Linked DNA regions of Macaca mulatta. The protein of the gene in region 2 interacts with the protein of the main gene of each other region in a pairwise test. Links are inferred from orthologs where the notes say so. Each region holds a gene or a part of one and is shown on either strand. Other genes may lie near its edges.

Region 1 (7,645 bases), on a different chromosome or scaffold from region 2:
GTGACAGAGCAAGATTCCGTCTCAAAAAAAAAAAAAATAAATAAATAAATAAATAAATCAGAAAAATAAAATAAAGAAGCTTCAAAATATAAAGAAAATTTTATTGGCCGGGCGCGGGGCTCACGCCTGTAATCCCAGTACTTTGGGAGGCCGAGGCGGGCAGATCACAAGGTCAGGAGATCGAGACCATCCTGGCTAACAACACGGTGAAACCCCATCTCTACTAAAAGTACAAAAAATTAGCTGGGCCTGGTGGCGGGCACCTGTAGTCCCAGAGAATGGTGTGAACCCGGGAGGCGGAGCTTGCAGTGAGTCGAGATCGGGCCACTGCACTCCAGCCTGGGTGACAGAGCGAGACTCCATCTCCAAAAAAAAAAAAAAAAAAGCAAAATTTTATTTAAAACTGGGAAAACAAGACAGTGATCTGGAAAACACAAAAATGATTTAGACCCAGAACATATCATGCAGTCTGTGGTCTTGGGGTGGCCTAGTAGGGTGAACCTCCCATCCCCTCCTCAGCACCCCTGTCCCCATCAGGGAGCTCCCTGTCTGCTCCTCCCTGGTCCTCCGGAGGAACTTACCGCTTATAGGGGTCATAGGTGGGGCTGTCTCGGCGGGCATAGCTAGAGAGAAGAATGGGGTGGGACAAGTTGGGGCTTAAGATCTCAGTGGGCATGAATTTGGGATAAGTCCCCCAACCTAAGGACCCAAAGCTAGGCACCTGGCACAGTGAGGGGGTTGCTGACCAGGTTGGGGGCCTTCCCTTGATTCCTCCACCCACCCCCACCTCAGATCTGTCCAAAGCATGAACTTAGGCCCCACCCCACAATGTCCTAGACCCATGACGACTCTGAGGAACTTGGACTTCAGCAACCCTGGTTCTGCTTGGCCTCCTGACCCTAGAATGAAAGCATCCCTCCTCCCAATCCTCGTCTCTGGCTCTCACTGGGTCTGGGTTTACCAATGATGATGATGATAAGACAAAAACAGGCTGGGTGCGGTGGCTCACACCTGTAATCCCAGCACTTTGAGAGGCTGAAGTGGGAGGATCACTTGAACCCAGGAGTTTGAGACCAGCCTGGGCAACACAGCAAGACCCCATCTCTACAAAGCATATTTTATTTTAATTAGCTGGGAGTGGTGATGCATGCCAGTAATCTCAGCTACTAAGGAGACTGAGGTAGGAGGCTCGCCTGAGCCTAGGAATTTGAGGCTGCAGTAAGTCGTGATTGCACCACTGCACTCCAGCCTGGGTGACGGAACAAGACCCTGTCTCTGGAAAAAAAAAAGAAGAGAAAGACTATCACAGCTGAGGAAACTGAAGCCCAGAGAGGTGAAGTCACTTGTCCAGCATCATGCAGCTCATAAAGGAGGAAACGGGGATCCACACCCAGGCCCTATAGCCACCCAGCCTGGGCTTTCCTGCACTACCCTCTATGTGCCTCTGTGCCACCACTGACAGCAGTGACAACTGGTGCTATTCTTTAAGGAATATTTCGCACACCAACCCCTGAACCTACAAGTCGTTTAAGCCTTACAGGAACTCTCAATCACTCTCCTTTAAGAGATGTGGCAAAAAGAGGCATGGGTTTGCACCGGGCCTCTCCTCAAGGCCTCCTGACCCAGGCTGGGCTCTCTGCTCCAAGCCAGACTGCCTCATCCAAACCTGTCCCAAGACCTCCCTGTGGGGACTGCCCCAGCCCTCTCTCATGGTAGGTGATAATGCTTCATTTTCCAAAGGAAGAAACTGAAGCTCAGAGGGTTCAGGTAGTCACTTGTCCAAACTCCAACACAGGAAACAGCCAAGCAGCAGAACTGAGTGAGAGTCCAGGGCAAAGCCTGTGCCCTCTATTCCTCCGCCGCCCTGGTGACAGCCTAATGCCGCCTGTGCATGGGCTCCTGGGAGTCTGGCAAGGGCCCCCAGTCCAGCAGGGTGAGGGGAGCGGCTGGCAAGGAAAGGAGTCCACATGGCCCTCAAGGCCGTTCCTACCTCTAAACCTTCACGCAGGCCATGCATCGCCCCACTAGAAAGACTCTTTCCTCAAGTCAAATGCCTGCCTCCAAAGAGCCTTCTCAGGCCCTAAGCCCCCGCTCCCCTCCCCCAGATGCCAGCAGGGTGGGGGTTCAGGGAGAAGCCCTACCTGGGTGGGCTGATCTTGCGACCCCTCAGCCGCTTCTCCCGAAACTCTCTCCGCTGGCGTCGAGAGCGGCGTCCCTGGAGTAGGGTGGGTGCCAGACTGGTGACGGGGTGCCCTCCCTGTGACACAACCCTGTCGCCTTCCACTCTAGCCCAGACCTCACCGAGTACATGGCCTTCTCCTCCTCAAGGGCCTTGGCGTGCTTGATGGCCTCTGCCTCCTCCTTATCTTTCCGGAGCATCCTATAGAGGGGGGTGAGAATTAGGGTGGAGGAGGGGGCACGCCACAGGACATGGAGGACACAGGCTGAGTCATCAGAGAAAGTGAGGGACCCGAGTCACCCCACACCAGCCTGAGGTGTCTTTCATTCAGTGCCACTTATTAAGCACCCTCTGTGTGCCAGGTCCTATCTTAGGCATCAAGAACTCAGCACTAAAAAAACCAGAAATCCTCACCTGCACGGGCTTACATTCTAGGGGAGAAGACAATGAGCAAGGGAATAAAACGCATGGTCCATTAGATGTTAGAGCAAAGGCAGAGGAAGCTGCATTTTTCAAGAGGAAGCTCAGGGAAGCGACACAGAACAGGGTATCTAGAGAGAAACCTGGGGGAGCAAGCTGCAGACGCCCGAAGCGAACAGCAGACAGACTGGCCCAGGTGCTGGGCCAGGCCTCTGCACTTGAGGAGCAAGGAGGCCATGGAGGCTGGGCAGGGGGTATGGGGGCAGTCAAGAGGACCAGATGGGTAAGACCTTTCAGCCATGGTGAGGACACTGGATGTGCCTGAGGGAGGTGGGAGCCACAAAGGGCTCTGGGCAGAGGGTGCCGTGCTCAGGCTCTGCTTTGGGTTCACTGCCCAGTGAGCTGGGACCATTCTGTGTGGTCTTATGAGCTCAGCAGGGGGTATGGCTCAGGGTAGAGGTACAACCAGCAACTGCCAGAATAAATGACCAGGGAATGAGGCCTCTCCACTAGAGGGTGCTGTCCCCCAGCCTAGGAATCCCCTGAGCTTCAAAGAGTCAGATTCGCCCCAGGTCACACTAAGTAGGGCAGGCTGGGTGATTTGGGTGCAGCCTGTTCCTGCACAGATGAAGTGGGGCCACGACCACCATAGGCTCAGGGACCTGCATGTGTAAAGTCCTGGGCCCAGGGTCAGGCACACAAATGCTCACAAACAGGATGGCTGTCAGTATGGGGAGTAACAGTGAGATGCCAGGGTGGGGCCCACAGAATGGGGAGGAGTGTCAGCAGGCAGGCCTCACCTGACAAAGTCGCCGTCGGCCATGCCATAAGTCGTGGCCTGTTTGTTGAGATCTGCCACCTGCTCCTGGTTCAGTTCATCCACGTCCACCTCCACGTCTGCACCAAGAGAAAGGCTGTCAGGAGCCACCGCCGAGCGAGAGGACAGGGGAGAAGGGGCAGTGCTCCAGGAGGTGGGGGTGATAGGGCGCCTGCCAGACTGAAGCACTCTTCAGGAAGGGATGGCATCAAGTATGGCTCATCTTGGCATCCCCTAGGCTCGCACTGGGCTTGGCCAGAGGTGAGCGCAACACACGGTGGACAGAGGCAGCTGGGGGACGGGGCTTGGAAGGGGCAGATGAACGGAGGGAGGGAAAGAAGAAGGGAGAGATGGATGAATGGGTGGAGGGACGGATGAAGGGATGCAGGGAGGGCTGGAGGGCAGGAGGGATGGAGGGATGAATGGAATAGAGGCAGGGAAGGAAGGTGGATGGAGGGAGGGAGGAATGGATGAGACGTGTGGCGGGGTTGACGTGGGAGGGAGGACTGAATAGGGTCAGACAGATGGCGGCTGAAGATCATGGTGGGTGGCAGGCAGGGTACGGGTCACAGGTGTTTGGAAGCAGGGCGTGTGATGAGCCAGCGGAAGGAGGGCTGGGCGGAGGTCAATGTGTGGCAAAGTGTGAATAAAGAGCCGGCTGCTGTCTGAGCGCAGTGGCTCATGCCTGTAATCCCAGCACTTTGGGTGGCCGAGGCAAGTGGATCATGAGGTCAGGAGTTCAAGACCAGCCTGACCAATGTAGCGAAACCCTGTCTCTGCTAAAAGTACAAAAATTAGCTGGGCATGGTGGCACGTGCCTGTAGTCCCAACTACTTGGGAAGCTGAGGCAGGAGAATCGCTTGAACCCAGGAGGTGGAGGTCACAGTGAGCCAAGAACACACCACTGCATTCCAGCCGGGGTGACAGAGCAGAACTCCATCCCAAAAAAATAAATAATACATAAAAAAATAAAAAGAGCCGGCTGCTGGAGTGAGAGCCAGGATGAGTAAAGCGGAGAGACTCGGGGGTGGTTTGACCAGTGGGAATCCAGAGGGGAGGTGAATGGCAGAGAGGGGGAGGGTGAACAGATGCCTGGAGGATGGGGGCTGGCTCTGTAAGAGGATGAACACTTGTTTTCCAGAGGAGGGAAGAGAGCAGGAGAGAGGGGCAGAGGCACAGAGAGGCCGGCCCAAGTGGACAAGAATGGAGCCAACACCTAGGAGGGGAAAAGATCGTAGAAACAGCACCCTAGAAACGAGAGATGAGTGAGACAGGGGTGGCAGGAGGCTGGCATGCCCTGGGGCGGGGGAGGGAGAGCGACACAGCTCGTAAGCACGGGGTGCCCCACAGAGGGTGAGGGACGAGACACAGAAACGATGCCCAGGGACTGTGGGTGGGGAGGGCAGAGAGGGGACCCCACCGATGTCGGGGATGACCTCATCTTCATCCGAGTTGCTCTCCTCCTCGGCTGCTGACTCCTCCTCCTCTGGCTTTTCTGCCGCCTTCTCCACCTCAGCCACCGTGCTGTCCTCGTAGGTATAACCGATGGAAGCCTTCTTCTCTGCCAGCCTGGAAAGGGGAGCCGCTGAGCCAGGGCCGCGCCTGGCGGAGAGGAGGGCCCCAGGCTGGCCCCACACACCAGCTTCTCGAGTGCCACGGCCCCCTCCCCTCAGGCTGTCCCTCGGCCTAGGTCCCTCTGCTCCTGCCCACACCCAGCTCCTCCCTCTTCCTCCACATCTCAGCTCCAGGGCCCCACCTGCCAAGAAGTCCTTGACTGGCACCTATGGTGGGTCGGCACTGTCCTGAGCTCCCCAGCCCTGCCTTCCTTGGGTCATCTCTGTTGGGGAAGGTCTGTCTCCCGCCAGACCGTAAGTCCCACGAGGGCACAGCCCAGAGTCCTCCTGAGCAGTCAGGTGCCCCAGCTTTGCTCTGAACAGAGCAGTGCCTGAGGGGCCTGAGCAGGACCCTGAGGCTGGGGCTGTGGACGAGGGCTGAAGTCTCCAAGAAGCATCCAGGACAGTCCCATGGGACCCCTCCCAGTGGAGGAAGGCGGCAAGCAGTCAGGGGGAGCAGGAGGGAAGGTGTCACTGAGAGAGCCGCCCAGTCCCGAGCCAGGGCTCCAGTCTACCGTGCACCAGGGCAACAGCAGCTGGCCTGGAGGAGAGCTAAGCCCTGCAGAGGGAACGGCATGTGTGAGGGTAGGGGCCTGTGCTCATCAGACTGAGGTGGAGAAGAGAGAAGTGAGACTGCCTGCTGCTCCTCAGAGGCAGCTGCTCCAGGATAAGGCTCAGGTCTCCCCAGCCACTCCTTGAGGGATGCAGCTTTGAGAAGCCTCTCTCCAGAGTGACATCAGTGAGGGCTGATTGCAAGCTCACTACACGGCAGGTGCTAGGACAGGTACTTCACAAGCTCTGTCTCCTGCATGCCTCCCAACTCCAGGCAGCGGGGCCTCCTGCCAGCCCCATTTTACAGGGAAGCACAGCAAGGCTCAGAGAATTCCCACTCAGGGTCTCACAGCCAGGACTCAAACCCAGAGCTGTCTGACCACAGGGACTGCACCTCCCACCACTCCCCAAGCTGAAAATGCAACGCAGAGCCGTCGGCAAGCCCTGGTACCCTGACAGGGCTTCTTCCTCTACACAGTTATTAAGTGAGCACTGACTGTGTGCTGAACACCATCCTTGGTTCTGGGGAGACCCTGGTGGACAGGATGGAAGAGGCCATGCCTGCCTGGGGCTCCCAGCCCTCCTGCCTCCTCAACCCCCTGCACCCCAGACCCCAACTCACTTCTTCTTCTCATCTTCACTGGGTCTCTGGAGGCCTCCGTACAACTCGTCAATGTAGATCTGGTACAGGCACTGCTCCTCTGAGACTGCAGCAAACAAGAGACTCCAGGTCAGAGTGGGTTGGGGACACTAGGAATTCAGTGGGAGAACATCAGAGTGCGGTGAAGCAGGAAGACAGGTGCAACCCCAGTGCACCTTGGGGCAATCGCCACTTCCAGATAATCAAACTGTGTCTGGTGGGACACAAGCAACTGCAGCAGAGCCTTGGACACACCACTCACTGGACACACGACCTTGGTCAAGTGACAGCACATCTGTGCCTCGGTTTCCTTTTCTGTAAAATGGGACCACAGGCAGAGTGAGTGCCTAGCCTGGTACTTGGACACTCTACTACCATTCTAACTGTTTCTGGAGGCCTCTGGCTGGACCCTTCAGAACCAAAACCTGCTCCTGAGCGCCACACGCCACTGACTGCACAGGTCACTCCACTGCAAGCCTCTTCGTGACTCATTTTAACACCCAGCTTAGAGGACTCAACAATGTACCAGAGCCTTCCTGATCTTCCCTGCAGTGAGACATGTGTGCCTGACTTGCTGTGGGACCGTGGGTGGTGAGTCCCCTTCCTTCCTTCCCTCCCTGGGCCTCAGTTTTGTCGGTATTTTTTTTGAGATGGAGTTTCGTTCTTGTAGCCCAGGCTGGAGTGCAATGGTGCGATCTTGCTCACCGCAACCTCTGCCTTCCGGGTTCAAGCGATTCTCCTGTCTGAGCCTCCCAAGTAGCTGGGATTACAGGTATGTGCCACCACACCCAGCTAATTTTGTATTTTTAGTATAGATAGGGTTTCTCCATGTTGGTCAGGCTGGTCTCGAACTCCCAACCTCAGGTGATCCACCACCTCGACCTCCCAAAAGTGCTGGAATTAGAGGTATGAGTCACTGTGCCCGGCTGGCCTGAGTTTTTCTATCTGGAACAAGAGGTGGGTGGGCTGGCGGGCCAGAAGGGGATGTAGCACGGCCCTTCCTTGCTCTAGCAGATACTCCATTTCTACTTGTTGTCTCCAAAGCCCAGGAGGGGCCCCGCTGACCCTGCCTTGCACAAGCTCCCTCGCTCTCCCTGCTCCGGTCACACGGGCCTTCTCTTTGCCCCTCCAGTGTGCCCATAGTCCTGGCTGACACAGGGTTTTGCACAGGCTGCTCTTGGCCTGGAATCCTGTGGCCTACCTGTGCCTCCTAGGGAGCCTCTATCCATACATCACTGACCCCAGCCTTGGTCCAGGACTTCTGTCCTATTTTTCTCAGAGAATGGTGCACTGTCTGTCACATTATCTTGGTTTGCAACTGGCGTCACTGACATGAGTATAGAGCTGCTGCCCTCTCCCCTACCATGCCACTGATCCCAGAGTAGCACCTGCCACACCGCATGTGCTCAATGACTGTTTGTGGA
Region 2 (7,645 bases):
CTAAAGCAGTGGTTCTCAGTCTGGGGCAATTTCATCCCTAGGGTACATTTGGCAATGCTTGGAGTCATTTTTCTCGACACTAGAGGAAGGGGATATATGTTTCTCTCATAGAGTGATTAGAGGCCAGGGCTGCTAAACATCCTATAATGGGACAGCCTCTGAAACAAAGAATTATCTGGTTCAACATATCAATAGTGCCAAGGTTGCCAACAATGCTCTAAAACACAACAGTAGCTAAGTGATCTCCATTTAGTTTATTTCATTCTCTATAACCTTTCCCAAATGCCTCTCATGTGCCAGGCACTAAGCTAGCATTATGAGAAGTATAGGAGTAATGGAGACAGTTCCTGCCCTCAAAGAACTTAAACTCTCCTCTTTCATTTGTAGCTGGCACATAAGTCCATTGAAAGAGAGATGTCTGTTTTTAAAAAGATGCTTGCTTATTTATGCATGGCTGTCATTTCTTTAACATTTCGTTTTTTATTCATTATTCCTCATTGAAACCCTGTGAGTCTGTGTAAATAGAGATGCCGCCACTATGTAGATCATATGGCCTGAGTGCAAGTGGGTTGTTTATACACACCGAGGGCATTCATTTTCAGAATAGCATTCTGAACCTGGCTGAAATGACACAATCTAATTGTATTAACATTGTGGGGTTTTTTTGACAGTTCACAGTACTGGCCATGCAGTGATCCATATCACCTGTGACAGTAATGAAACCACCAAACTCACTGTAGCATGAACCTTTTCTTTCCTCTTATCAGGTGTCAAGGCACAGGCTGAGTCACCAGAACACCCTCCCTGAATTATGTCAAACAAGCGTACACATGCTCAAGTGTATCTGGATTCTGATTTGGCTGCACAGTCACTGTTTTCCAGATGTTTGCAGAAAAAATGTGGGCTGGAGGAGACTCACTGAAAGCTGGAACTAGATGGATGCACACTGCTCATCCAAGTCAATTCACTTATTTTACCAATGATAAAACTGAGTCTCAGAGAAGTCACACGCTTGCCCAAAGACACAGCTTGTGGTAGAGGAGTCAACACTAGAACTGGGGTCCAGCACTGCACAAAACCACTTAACATGTGTTAATACTGAGGATAAAAGATACTTCAAATTCTGGGAGGTCTATAATGTTTGAGTATATATACCATTGAATCCTTTTAATAACCCATCCCTCATACAGATGAGGAAACCGAGGCTCATAGAAATAAAGTGCCTTGCCCAAAGGTACAAAACTGGTCACTAATAAATCTGATCTCCAGGTTTCCAGTCCAGTACTTTCTGCAGCACCATCTTTTTGTTCTCTTTAACTACCAGAAGCTTTAAGCCAAAATGAGGCTTCAGCTATAAAAGCTATTTAAGACCTTACGGCTGCTGTGTCTCTGCCCTAAGTTTTCTCTTGATCCTTATTTTATATTCTAATGTTTAAAACTTGTTCCCCAAATTTTTAAAGTTTGCATTCACTTTTATTTCAAGAAACCACACCAAAATCTATGTGTCATAAGCTGGCTATACATAAATAAATGAACGAATGCATGAGTAAACTAACAAAATCTTAAGAAGCAGAGTAATACGGTGGAAAAATACTAGGCTTACGTTCAGTTCAATACCACTTTGTCTATTGTCTTCAACCTTGAGCCTCACTTTCATTATCCATCAAACAGGTCTAACAAAATTTGTCATTAAGCATTATTATAAGTCTAAAAATAAACATGGAACATATGAAGAAGGTTTGTATGTTATCAGTGGTACCTATATTTGTAGCTCTTAGTAGTAATAGTAGTAGTAATAGTAGCAATAGTAGTAATAGTAATATAAACAAAGAAGCCTGATTAATGCAAGCGAGATGAGTTATCTGACCCCTGAAACCCTACCTCCAGACATAAGTTATGGCTCTCATTGGGTTTTATGTCTTAAGTGAGGGGCACTCACGTGAGTTGGTCGATGGTGTGGTAGAAGTCACAGGGGTCAAATTCAACTGGGAGATGTCAAAGTCATCACAGTCGTCTGTATCCTGTGCCACCCCGACTTTGTTGAAGTAACTGGAGAAGGCCTCTGAGGTACAGGTGAGGGAGGGCTGGTCGGGTTTGCGGGAGGGCACGGGTGGAGGCTGGGCCATCTGGAAATCCTTAAATGTTTCTTTCCCCATTTTCTGCCTGGGCTTGTCGGTCTGTGGACTTGACCTGGTGGAGTCACTCGTGCCTGGGACGGTGGCAAGGGGGGTGAGGGGACCTTGGAACATGGCAGCTGGCAAAGGCATAACAGTTTGTGTGGGCATGAAGGCGGCTGGCGGAAACTGCCCGGCCACAGTTGGCCAGGGCTGCTGAGTGGCAGGGAAGAGACCCGGCTGGCCCCATGCGATGGGCTGAGCCCCCGGCATCACCTGAGCGACTGGTGGCTGGGCACCCATGACCATCTGCTGTTGGACGAGGGGCTGCTGGCCCCAGAAGGACGGGAGGACAGCGCCCATTGCAACGTAACCTGGGAGAATGAAAAAGAAGAGTCAGGTGTCCTGAGAAAGAAGGATGCATGGACTCAGGTAATTGACAGAAATGTATCAAGCACCAACTAAGTGCCAGACTGTGTGCCAGGGACTGGGGATGCCAAGATGAACAAGACAAAAGTCCTTGCTGTCTTGGAGCCTATATCCTAGAGAAGTGGTCAGGGAAAGCCTCTCTGAGGAGATGATCTGTAAGCAAAAACTAGAATGCTAATAATCACATTTCTGTAGTTGTTAGAAGTTTCTAAAGTCTCATAGCCTCAGAAGCTGTGTGTCTCAGGGACAGGGCAGAAGGACGGAAGGCAGGCCGTCCTGGGTTTTCTCCTTGCCTCCTCTTCCTGCTGCACTTAGGACCCTCTCAATTGCGTAAGCTCTTTAAGAGTCTGACTCTTTGTTGTAAAACCAGGTTATAATACCGTCCTTCGCAGGCCTGAGGCAGTGTGCAAAGTGAGTAATAATCTGAATGTTGGAGTTTTAGAGACCTAGGTTAAAATTCAAACAGCCACCTCTTAACTGTGTAATTTGGGGAGTAGTTCTTAAATCTCTCTAAGGCTCTATGACCTTATTTGTAAAATGGGTATAAACACCTTCTACCTTGCTAGGTTGATTTGAAGATTAATTGAGAGTACATATTTAAAATGTGGAGTATTGTACCGGACACAGGATCAACATTCAGTAAATGTTAGTTACTAGTATGGTTTGGATTAGATAGAGGCTAGAGAGTTACTTATTACATTGCTTGATATACAAAAGACATGTAATAAATGGCAGCTAGAGGTATTATGCATGATTTCTGTATTATTATTATTCCAATTTTGGAGAATTAAAAAAATAGGGCCAGATGTGGTGGCTTATGCTTGTAATCCTAACACTTTGGGAGGTCCAGGTGGGAGGATTGCTTGAGGCTCAGAGTTTGAGATCAGACTTAGTAACACAGCAAGGCCTCATCTCTACCAAAAATTTTTAAAAAGTAGTGAGGAATGGTGGCACATGCTCAGAGTCCCATTGTCTCAGCACTCAGGAGGCTGAGGCGGGAGGATCACTTGAGCCCAAAAGTTTGAAGCAGCACTGAGCTGTGATTATACCACTGCACTCCAGCTTGGGTAACAGAGTGAGACACTTGTCTCAAAAAAAAAAAAAAAAAAAAAAGAAGGTTATTGTCCACTCAGGGGCACCTCATACATCAGTATAAGTTACACACTGCAAAACCCCATAGCCTGTACTCATGTGTATTACCATGATAATTGTTCACTGTATTATTCTTTTTAGGTAAGACATATACATTTTAACAGGAGCACAAGTGACACGTGTTACAATAATAATAGTAACATAGCAGTAACAGCAACAAGCTCCACTTATTAAATGCCTACAACATGCCAGATACACTAGTATGTGTTTTGCGTCTTCACGAAATTCCGGCAGGGTAGGTATTGTTATCTCTATTTTAGGGATGAAGAAATTGGTGCTCAAGGAAAAGCAACTTGCTCAGGGTCATACAGGTTGCATGAGGTAGGAGCAGGATCAAACTGAGGTTGTCTGTTCCCCCAAAGCCAGGGTTCCTTCCTTTGTGCCACACACTGCCTCACCCAGATGGCCAAGACCAATTTCCGATCTTTGCAGTTAATAGACCTTGCCTACTATTTGATTGTATTTGGATACTGCAGGCCTGCAGGAAATTCACATGTGCTTCCAGGGGTCCCCACCCTTCTCAGGGGGCACAATGGCCACCTCTATGTGCAGTTGAGCCTGAGAGACAAGTTCCCAGGCTGGGCAGAGCAGAGAATAGAGAAGCCAGCTTTGCCTGGGCCTCTCAAAACAAGCCTTTCCATGGCTGTCAGTAGGAAGATACCGATGCAGTGTAATGAGACCAGGAAAAAAAGAGGAATGGAGGCAGAGTATCCTAGCAACTTCCAAAGGGACAATGGGTGGGCGTTATGGCATTGATGACATTATGAGTCATCTCACTGACTCTTGTGAGCCCAGAGAGATGGAACGCAGGGTGTCTCACTCCATACTCCAGTCACAGATATACCTGCCTTCAACTGACTGATACAGGCTAGAGCCAACATTCAAGGCCTGGTGATTTTCCTTGCAAGGTGCCCGTTTCCTCTCATGCCATGCTTCCCTAACAGCAGGCTCCAGAAAGGCACCAATAGGACACCTGTGCTTCTTGCTGATTAATCTCGCAGTGTTAAATACTTCTGCGGAATGAGACAAGGATGTCAACAAAAAAAATGGAGAATATCTTATAAGACTACTTTGTCCAACTGCACTGAAGCAAGAGGGATGAAGAGGCCCTGGAGCTGAAACTTCAAACGTGAAGCTTGCTTAGCTTGCCTCACCCATGGCATGATAATGTAGTGACTTAAATCTACCAACAGATGAAGAATCCTGCAACTCAGTCTTGTTTTCCGATTTACTTTGATATGTCCCAGTGGTTCTCAGTGGGAGTACTACTGCCCCCTAGGGGTGGCTAGAAAATTGGTGGGACGTGTTTTGGTTGTCACAAGTGGAGGGGGTTACACTACTGGCATTTAGGAGACCCAAGCATTGACAGTAGACATCTCACTATGTGTGAGACCAATGCGTATGACAAAGCATTATTCCACATCCTGTTTATGATCATTTGCACCCAGAATCGACTTTGAATTACACGGGAATTCAAAGTTATCTTTGCACTTGATTTTAATGCATTTAATTTTCCAGGAATTCAACAACTGTGCACGGGAGGGAAGACTGTATTTTTGGTTTGGAACACTGTCAAAAGGTGTTGACTATTTTGGAAAATGGCAGTCCCTGACATCCCTGACAGAAACGCTTCTCATGGTGGTATAGCCACATGACACTTCTGTATCAGTCTGGACTTATAGCTGTGGCTTTCGATAGTGATTCTACTTATAGGTGTATACATCTGACTGTTATGCCTTCTAGTGTGCTCATGCCTGAGTATTTCCTTATTTAAATACATACATTTTTCTTACAAATTCTCTTTCCTTTCTGCCTTATATTAGAGAATTATATTCATTTTGAAAAATTGTGTAGCTAGACTACCTTATCTATGAAATTCATTTCAAGGTATGAAAGGAGGTATTGTAAATATTTGTAGTAAGAAGGGGGTGCTGGGTCTGCAGGTGGAGAAGTACCCACGGATTCAATCACCCAAGACCTGCTGCCCATTTTGGTGAATGAGGGGATGTTTTCACTCTCTTGACATCAAGCCTATTTTTGGCTTTGCTTTTATTCCACCCTCCTCGTTGCCAGGAACGACTGTTTTAAAATGCATATATGGTACTTCACTGTCTTTAGTATAAGGCTCACATGTCTTAGCTTGGCTATGCGTCCTTGGAGGTCAGCCCCTTCCACCTCTTCATCACTATCTTCAATTCATATCCTCACTGCACCTTGCCCTTCAGCAGTTGCAAACAAAACCCAACGTGCTGTCTCTTGTCTCTGCTGGCCCATCTGCCTGGAAAGCCATCCCGCTGCTTCTGTGCATGTCTAACCCTGATTTGCTCTTGGAGACTCGGCTCACTATCACCTCTGCTGGATGGCTTCTTGCTCCTGTCAGCTCCACTGGTCCTTCTCTGGGCTTGCACAGTCCTCTGTGCTCACCTGTATCATGACATTTGTCACACTGCATTGTAATTGCCTGGTTATTCTATCTTCCCTGATGAGACTAGAAACCACCTGTTGGCAGGAACTCTTTATTCTCTCTCTCTCTCCACTCTGCCTAGCATGGTTTGGGACGGGAGAAAGGCCCTACATAAAGATGAACAAGTCCTAGTCAATACGCTCACTGCATTTTTCCCGGTGTCTAATTAAACCCACAATGCATAAATGCTGTGATCTCTGATGATTCTACTGTTGGTGGCAGGTTTTTTTCCCCTCCCATCTTTTGTTTTTTTTTTTCCACAAGGAGCTAACAGATGGGCTGTGCACACTTTTCTGGAGAGAGCTATTAGCATGTCTCTCTGGCTTCATGCCATCTGCTCCAGACCAAAGTACAATATTCAAAAGAAAAAAAGGTAGCACAGGGTAATTGGGTATCATGCTTAGGAGCTTGCAGGTCCCACTCACTTTTCCTAGGGGGTCCCTGCAGCCCGGCTCTCCTTGGCCGGTGAGTTAAGGCTGTCTGGCCACATGATCTTGTGCATGAGCGAAAGGACACACCAGCAGCAGGACAGTGGTGGCACTGGACACAGGGAGCCACGTGGGGGTTGCCACTGCAGCCACTTAACAGCTTGTTAACTGTTTACTATTAATGTCCAGTAGTGGAGGGAGGAGGTGCCAAGGAGCATCTGTTTATGCCATGAAGTTCAGAGCAATCATAAATCTTGCTGTGGAGTGAAAGGGAACACCTGCCTTGCTGCCTTACAGTTAGGTTTTTAAAAAGTGTTGAAAATTGTGATTTATAGCCAGATGCTGACACCTGGGGATACCCCCATTATTTGAAAAAAGAAAAAAAAAGGCAGACTGAAATATAAGAAAAGCACTAAAAATGAAGGAACTCCTCCAACATTTATGCAGAACTTGTATGATATCTCTTATCCACAGTATCTCACTTGATGGATTCATTCATTCAAAACTACCTCTACTAGGTGCCAATCACTGCTTTAGTATGTGGAGACAAAACAAAGAACAAAACAGTCATCAAAAAAAACCAAAAACATTCTCACCCTGTGGAGCTGACATTTTTGTGAAGTTGATCCTTTCCACAAGCCTCTGGGGTGAGTGTGATTGCTATCTCTTTAATTTGTAGAGGAGAAATTGCAACTCCATGAGGGGAAGATTTGATGCAGCTACACACTGTATGAATAGCAGATCCAAGGCTCCCGAAGAACCATGTAGCAAACATCTGTTGAGTGCTTACTGATGGAAGCACTGCCAGGAACTGCTGTACATATTTTACAACCTGCATTTACTCATGCAATCCTTAGAAAAACTCTATGAGGTAGAATTATGATCATCCACATTAAAATGGGATAAGTTTCCTGAGGTTCAGAAGATATTTATCTGAGTATGATGCAGTTGGCTAGCAGCAGAGCCTGTATTCATACATAGTACATTCTCCAGGCCACCCATTCTCCTGCTGTCTGCTATGAGCAGTCAAGAGGTTGAAGACCTAAACTTTATTACAG
Region 3 (7,645 bases), on a different chromosome or scaffold from region 2:
TCTTGAATTCCTGTTTTCCAATTTAACATTTTTTTTTTTCTGTAGTATCACACTGGGTGCTGTAAAGATGTCAGTTTTAAGCAATTATATAAGAACCAGAAGGCTAACAATCTATGGTATTTTAAATTTCCTTATTGTCTAACAAGTTGCAGTAAAAAGACAGAAAGAAGTGGCCAGAAGAACTGGTCAATAGTTTAACTGATTCCAAAAATTTTTTTACCTCAGAAGGAACTCAAAATTCAAATATATGCTTCAGAATTTCATAAGGAAGAAGTAGAGTATGCATTTAAATACCAAATGACCAAACATTTGATCAATTAATAAATAAGTAGGTGCATTTATTGCCATGTCTTTTAGACTTCGATACGTGATGCAATTGGCATGCGAAGAAATAACGTGCAGATAGGATTGTCTAAAATCACAAGCACAGAGCAGCAAGATGCGCCTCAGAGCTTCACGCTGCAGTATCCTAACAGGTTGGAACTGTGACACTGGATCTGATCTTGTTAACAAGAATAAGACAGGAAGCTGCACTACAATCAAGCATTTAGAGAAGCAGGATTCAGATAAAAGGCAAATCACAGTTGATGCAGTGGTAGCCATGTGTACTGACTATAGCAAAAGAAAACAGACAAAATACAATAAGTAGCTCCTCACAAAAAGAAAAAAACCCAAAGACAAAAGTCTTCATTTCAATTAAGCACTACAAAATATAAACAGTAACAAACTACTTAAAATTGTGAATGTGGGAGGATTGGTTTAGTAGAGTTATAACCATTTTTTTTGAATATCATCTATTAATAATTAATTCATTAAAGTTCATCTCAGATTGCTTATTTGGTTACCACTAATCAATCAACAATTATGCATTAAGAACTCAGGGTTTGCTTTAGAAAGGTTGGGGGAATAAAACTGCTTCACATGCTGAGCATCCAATAATTTCAGATATTTAAAAAAAATTTAAGTTTCCTCTTAATCCATCTGCAAACAGCAATAGTTAATTAATAAGCAATACAGTTGTGTAACGACAAATCACTCAAAAATCCAGGTGTATCAGGTGTATCTCCCTAGCAAGAACAAGTTGCTTCACATCTCTTCCCCTAAAATCATTTCCCTGTAAAACAGAATTAATAATAGTGTCTTCCTGATAAGATTGTTTTGAGCATTAAAGCTCTGATGCATGTGTCTGGTATATGATTGTCAATACGCTAAAATTTCAGAGCCTTTGTAATGTATGCAACAAAAGTTAATAAATAATAAATCAGCTTATTAACTAAATTCCTGCTAAACTGACAAATTATTTGAGTCAATTATGTTCATATAACAGCCTCATTTTGCCACTTTCTCAGTAAAATTTATTAGCACTAAGTATTGCCTCATCTTCAGGAGGAGGAAATAAAAGGCATCCAAATAGGAAGAGAGGAAGTCAAATTATCCCTGTTGGCAGACAAGTTGTTTCTTTATCTAGAAAACCCCATAGTCTCTGCCCAAAAGCTCCTTGATCTGATAAACAACTTCAGCAAAGTTGTAGGATACAAAATCAATGTATAAAAATGAGTAGCATTCCCATAAACCAACAACATCCAAGCAGACAGCCAAATCAGGAGTGCATTCCCATTCACAATTGCCACAAAAAGAATAAAATACTTAGGAATAACAGTTAAGCAGGGAGGTGAAAGCTCTCTAAAATGAGAATGACAAAACATCCCTCAAAGAAATCGTGGATGACACGTAACAAATTGAAAAACTTTCCATGCTCATGGATAGGAAGAATCCATAACATTAAAATGGCCATACTGTTCAATGCAAGTTATACATTCCATGTTATTCCTTGTCAAACTACCAATGACATTCTTCACAGAATTAGAAAAAAAAAAAACTACTTAAAAATTCATATGAAATAAAAAAAGAGCTTGAACGGCCAATAGCCAATACAATCTTAAGCAAAAGTAACAAAGCTGGAGGCATCACATTACCTGACTTCAAACTATAGTACAAGGCTACAGTAAACAAAACAAGGTACTGGTACAAAAAAAGACACACAGACCAATGGAACAGAATAGAGAGCCTAGAAATAATGCAGCACACCTATAACTATTTGATCTCCAACAAAGCTGACAATAACAAGCAATGAGGAAAGGACTCCCTGTTCAATAAATGGTGCCAGGATAACTGGCTAGCTATACACAGAAGATTGAAACTGAACCCCTTCTTTACACCATATACAAAAATCAACTCAAGACGGATTAAAGGCTTAAGTGTAAAACCCCAAACTATAAAACCCCTGAAAGGTAACATAGGAAATACCATTCTTGACACAGGACCTGGCAAAGATTTCATGACAAACATGCCAAAAGCAATCGCAACAAAAATAAAAATGGAAAAATGGTATCTAATTAAACTAAAGAGCTTCTACACAGCAAAAGAAACTATCAACGGAATAAACAGCCTACAGAATGGGAGAAAATATTTACAAACTATGTATTCCACAAAGGTCTAATATCTAGAATCTGTAAGAAACTTAAATTTATGAGCAAAAAACAACCCTATTACAAAGTGGGTGAAGGACATAAACAGATGCTTTTCAAAGAAAGATACACAAGTGGCCAATAAGTATATGAAAAATGTCCATTATCACTAATATTAGAGAAATGCAAATCAAAACCACCAGATACCATCTCACGCCAGTTAAAATGTCTATTATTAAAAACTCAGAAAATAATGAATGTTGGTAAGGTTGCAAAGAAATAGAAACAATTATACACTGCTGGTGGGAGTGCAAATTAATTCAACCGTTGTGGAAAACAGTGTGGCAATTCCTCAAAGACCTAAAAACAGAAATCATTTGACCCAGTAATCCCATTACTGGGTATTTACCCAAGGAATATAAATCGTTCTACCATAAAGACACACATGTGTATATTCACTGCAGCACTATTCACAACAGCAAAAACATGGAATCAACCTAAGTGTCCATCAATGGTAGCCTGGATAAAGAAAATGTGGTATATATACACTGTGGAATACTATGCAGACATAAAAAAGAATGAGATCACGTCCTTTGCAGCAACATAGATTGAGCTGGAGGCCATTATCTGAAGCAAACTAATACAGAAACAGGAAACCACATACCACATGTTCTCACTTGTAAGTGGGGGCTAAATGATGAGACCTCATGGACACAAAGAGGGAAACAGCAGATGTTAGGGCCTATTTGAGGGTGGTTGGTGGGAGGGGGGAGAGGATCAGAAAAAAATACCTATTGGGTATTGTGCTTATTACCTGGGTGATGAAATAATCTCTACACCAAACCCCAATGGTATAAAGTTTACCTATATAAAAACCTGCACATGTACCCCTGAACCTAAAATGTAAGTTAAAAAAATATATCACCTCATCCTCACCAGGGAAAAGAGGAAAAAGTCATTTTATTCTTTAGGTGGGTTCAATGACAGGTTTGTATCTTCAATGTACATTTGATGCTGTCACTTTTTCTCTACATCTATAATTTACCAAATTCATTAATTCACAGTCATGTTGAAATTCTGAACAACGACATTGAAGTAAGATTTATAACTTTAATATCTTTTTCATGTACCAACAGCGGAGCCCACGCATCTGATCATCCTTTACTCTAGAACTTAAGAGGATTATGCAAAAAACTTTTATGAAAGCACACTTCATAAACAAAGTTTCCTTTCTACTTCAACCAAAATATTGTACAGCTTATGAGAAAACTTGCAATAATAAATTGTAAAATGTTTTACAGACACTAATATTTGTAAATCTTTATGAGAACAATTTTTAGGTGATTGATAACGTTTGTTATTCTTGATAGTTGCAACAACAACAAACACTCAGGAGGCATTTGCTTATGTGCCAGATATTCCCCTCTTTGAGGTAAGTGCCGTTTTAAAGATGAGGAAATTGAGGTACAGTGATATAACCAGGCAATCTGACTTTAGGGTCCAACTTCTTATCCACTATTCTAAACATGGATGTTGTAGCCTTTATAAACATTACATTAATCAAATACAGCATATCTATACTCTAGTAAAATGTTCCAAACCCTAAGCCAAAATCTCTGTTTTAAAATTTTTACAACTTTTTGGCCATGGAAACACAAACAAACAAAAAAATACACTTGGAGAATTAGAATGTATTACATAAAGACACCAACTAGTCATTCCTACCTCAAGTCTGTCTGTTCGCATTAATTTCTGTGCAGCAGCTGCAGCAGCTGCAGGTACAGGGACACCCGGATTCCCTGTAACCAACATTGGTGCAGTCGGCAAGATCTCTGCTGGGACCAGGCTTGGAGAAACAGGTCCCAGATAGGGATTAAAGGCTGCTGATGCATTGGTGGCTAAGCTTGGTGCAACTGAAAACATTGGCTGAAAAATAAAATAAAAGCAAAATTTAACAAGCAGGTCTCAGCTCAAAGTTGATTATTCTTAATTATACATTTGTCCTCCATCCATCTATCAACTCTTCCTTCCTTCCCTTCTTCCCTTTAATCCTGTGTTCATTTACCATTTGTCCTCCATCCATCTATCCATTCTTCCTCCCTTGCCTTCTTCCCTTTAATCCTGTGTTCATTTACTATCATTTAGGGTAAGGCTGTTTTATTAAATAAGCACTCATCAAATCAATGTTTTTCTAAAATATAACAGGTAAAATATCCATTAAATTATTCACTGGAATTTTGAACCTGGGGGGTCTATAATACTTGTAATTTTTTTTTTTTTTTTTGAAAAATAGATAAACTAGGCAGAAACTCCTTGTGGTCACCTAATCTTCATCTTTGCCCTGACTTAATTCTAGATATTTGTCTAAGAAATACATTTTGTAATTGCTATGTCAGATGTACTTGAAAGACCTGTTTACCACTGTTAATAGGTTGCAAGTGTCCTATGATCCGGAATAAATACAGTAGAACTCCCAGGGGATAAAAGAGTTTCACAGTCAATGTAAGCTGTAAATAAATCTCATGGGTTTGGGAAAGGTGATGATGACACCTTGTCTTCTGAGCACATAAGATAAAGTGTTTGGTATACTTACTTGATGGTGATTTTTCTGGGGGAAATTATAAATGTTCCACTAGTCTATCATACCTTACTAAGGGAAAACACGTCTAAAATGTGAAGTCTGAAGTAGAACTGCTACTAAGGAAATGCTACATGATTAGTCAAGGAAATACATATGGCAGAACTGAATAAACTGCTACAAGACAGAATTTCTTCCAGAAATGCTTTCATGGATACACAAGGATTGTTTCTATTTGTTGATATGCAAACTTGCATATCATAAAATATATTTGTTCTTGAATAGCATTAATTTACCTGAAATCTAACGATTTGTTTTTCTAGTGTTTAAAGTATAACAGAACACAAACAATTTCATATCTTATGGATAGTACATTTTTAACTTCCTAACAGACTCTCAATTCTAGTTCTCGAAGTTTAATGCTTCATGTAATAATGCTTGTTTCTGAAAAACAAAAGCTTGTAGGCAAAACGGATGCTGTTCTTTAAGGTAATTTTTTTTTTTTTTTTTTTTTTTGAGACGGAGCCTTGCTCTGTTGCCCCAGCTAGAGTGCAGTGGTGCAATCTTGGCTCACTGCAAGCTCCACCTCCCGGGTTCATGCCATTCTCCTGCCTCAGCCTCCCTAGTAGCTGGGACTACCCGCCACCATGCCTGGCTAATTTTTTGTATTTTTAGTAGAGACGGGGTTTCATCATGTTAGCCAGGATGGTCTCAATCTCCTGACCTCATGATCCGCCCACTTCGGCCTCCCAAAGTGCTGAGATTACAGGCCTGAGCCACCGAGCCCAGCCTCTTTAAGGTAATATTTAACAATTTATTTTCTTTACTCAGTAGTAATGAACAGAATTACAGAACATTTTTTAGAATAAAAGAGACATTATAATGTATTAATAACTAATTCTGCCATCTGATAGGAATAAGAAGTTACATGGTCCCTGAATATATGTAGCATTCAAGAGAGCTTTGTAGCAAAACTTTTTGCAATATAAGGCATACATTACAAATGTAATTCTTATAGTACAAAAGAAATACGTTAAAAAGTAAAACATATCCTTTATTCACTCTGGCCCTGACTGATTCTATATTTAGAAAAATAAAATGAATTTCAAGTGTTCCCTTTTTCTTAGGGCAGTGGTTTTCAACCGAGTTGTTTTGCCTCTCAGGAGACACCTGGCAATGTCTAAAGACATTTTTGGTTATCACAGCTGGAGGGGAACTATTGCATATAACGGATGGAAGCCAGGGATGCTGCTAAGTGTTCTACAACATATAAGACAGCCCCTCGCAACAAAGAATTATCCAGCCCCGAAAGTCAATACTGTCAATGTTAAGAAGGCCTTTCTTAGGGAACTCTTCTGTTGACCTCAAAACTTGCTTGGGAAGCACTCTTTGCATTTAGCTATACATTTTTACTAACAAAAATATGAAAAACCAAAATATGCAATACCTAATGTGATTCACTGAGAAGAAACAATACAATATAGATTATACCATTTCAACTTAAAATTATTATGCCTCTGAACACGTTGGTTTGAATGCCATGTTTAGCTACTCTGCCAGGTCGATGGCTCTTGCCTGATGAAGTGGTCTCAAGTAGCACCTCTAATCCCCAACCCCTCCCAGCACAAAGCAGCAACCTGCAGACAACAAGAACTATCTGTGCATTCCAGATTTTAACAATCAACAAGCTGTCAGAAACTAGGGCCCAGGGCAGTCTCTGTCCACCAACACTTCCCGGAGCCACAGCTGACTTAATGCTGCGCCACTGTCCATTCTCTGTCCAGGTGGCAGCAGGACAAGGATTGATTGTATAGTGAATATATGTTGAACTTGGATTTCTATTCAAGGATATTCAGGTTAAACTTGTACTTTGTTATACATTGTCAGATTGCATATGAAAATCCAGCCAGACCAGCACCCTAATTTCTATATTAGTCATTTAAGAATTACAAGAAATTTAGCATAGAAGACTAAAAGAGTCTATGTCAGGGGACTAACAGACTAGTTCAGCAAATGGACAACAGAAGCTACTCATTATCATTCCTCTTTGCATTCTTTTACTATGAATAAACATGTATTTCCAGATAGTGCATTTTTAATGTATACTTCAGAAAGTTACTGAGATGTTTATGTTACTGTACATAATCTACTATAATTATTTAAAAGCAAAGGACAAATTTAAAAATGTTTTTGGAAGAAAAAGCATTTTTATTTTAATAAAATGCGACCAGAGGCTAATAAAACTCAGCTCTCTTAAATCTCATCAAATAAAATACACTGGAAATCTAAAAATGCATATAATGCAGCTGTTGCACACTACAGGCAGAATCATACTTTTATTATGTAAAAATACTGCTTTAATAACTGGCAATAATCTTTCCTGAGTTGTTTCTATAGAGTCAGCAAGAGAATTGATCTTTTGCTTTAATTCAGCAGAGCAAATTCAAATCTGTACAATTTTAGGGCACTGTCCCCAAGTAAAGTCTGTAGGAGCTTTTAAAAATGTGAAACATCAACTATTCAGCAAGCATTATCTCAAATTGTTCCCTCTTTCGATAAGCAGAGCTATTTGCTGAATAGGCAGACAATCAATAACTAG

Evidence for each region. The genes of interacting proteins can lie anywhere in the genome.
Region 1: the proteins of DAB1 (region 2) and CLASRP interact in a two-hybrid assay, tested with the Homo sapiens proteins (2 studies listed by BioGRID and IntAct). The link is inferred for Macaca mulatta from reciprocal best matches to the Homo sapiens genes DAB1 and CLASRP.
Region 3: the proteins of DAB1 (region 2) and MBNL1 interact in binary tests that used the Homo sapiens proteins (3 or more experiments, as listed by UniProt). The link is inferred for Macaca mulatta from reciprocal best matches to the Homo sapiens genes DAB1 and MBNL1.

What each region holds. Positions count from the first base shown.
Region 1 is NC_133424.1:57,570,014-57,577,658, reverse strand, and holds part of CLASRP (CLK4-associating serine/arginine rich protein), read right to left. Parts: intron 6,289-7,645; coding exon 6,204-6,288; intron 4,986-6,203; coding exon 4,837-4,985; intron 3,497-4,836; coding exon 3,400-3,496; intron 2,381-3,399; coding exon 2,302-2,380; intron 2,216-2,301; coding exon 2,142-2,215; intron 624-2,141; coding exon 582-623; intron 1-581. UniProt on the Homo sapiens protein: Probably functions as an alternative splicing regulator. May regulate the mRNA splicing of genes such as CLK1. May act by regulating members of the CLK kinase family.
Region 2 is NC_133406.1:183,608,918-183,616,562, reverse strand, and holds part of DAB1 (disabled homolog 1), read right to left. Parts: intron 2,489-7,645; coding exon 1,940-2,488; intron 1-1,939. UniProt on the Homo sapiens protein: Signaling adapter of the reelin-mediated signaling pathway, which regulates the migration and differentiation of postmitotic neurons during brain development.
Region 3 is NC_133407.1:55,586,879-55,594,523, reverse strand, and holds part of MBNL1 (muscleblind-like protein 1), read right to left. Parts: intron 4,395-7,645; coding exon 4,194-4,394; intron 1-4,193. UniProt on the Homo sapiens protein: Mediates pre-mRNA alternative splicing regulation. Acts either as activator or repressor of splicing on specific pre-mRNA targets. Inhibits cardiac troponin-T (TNNT2) pre-mRNA exon inclusion but induces insulin receptor (IR) pre-mRNA exon inclusion in muscle.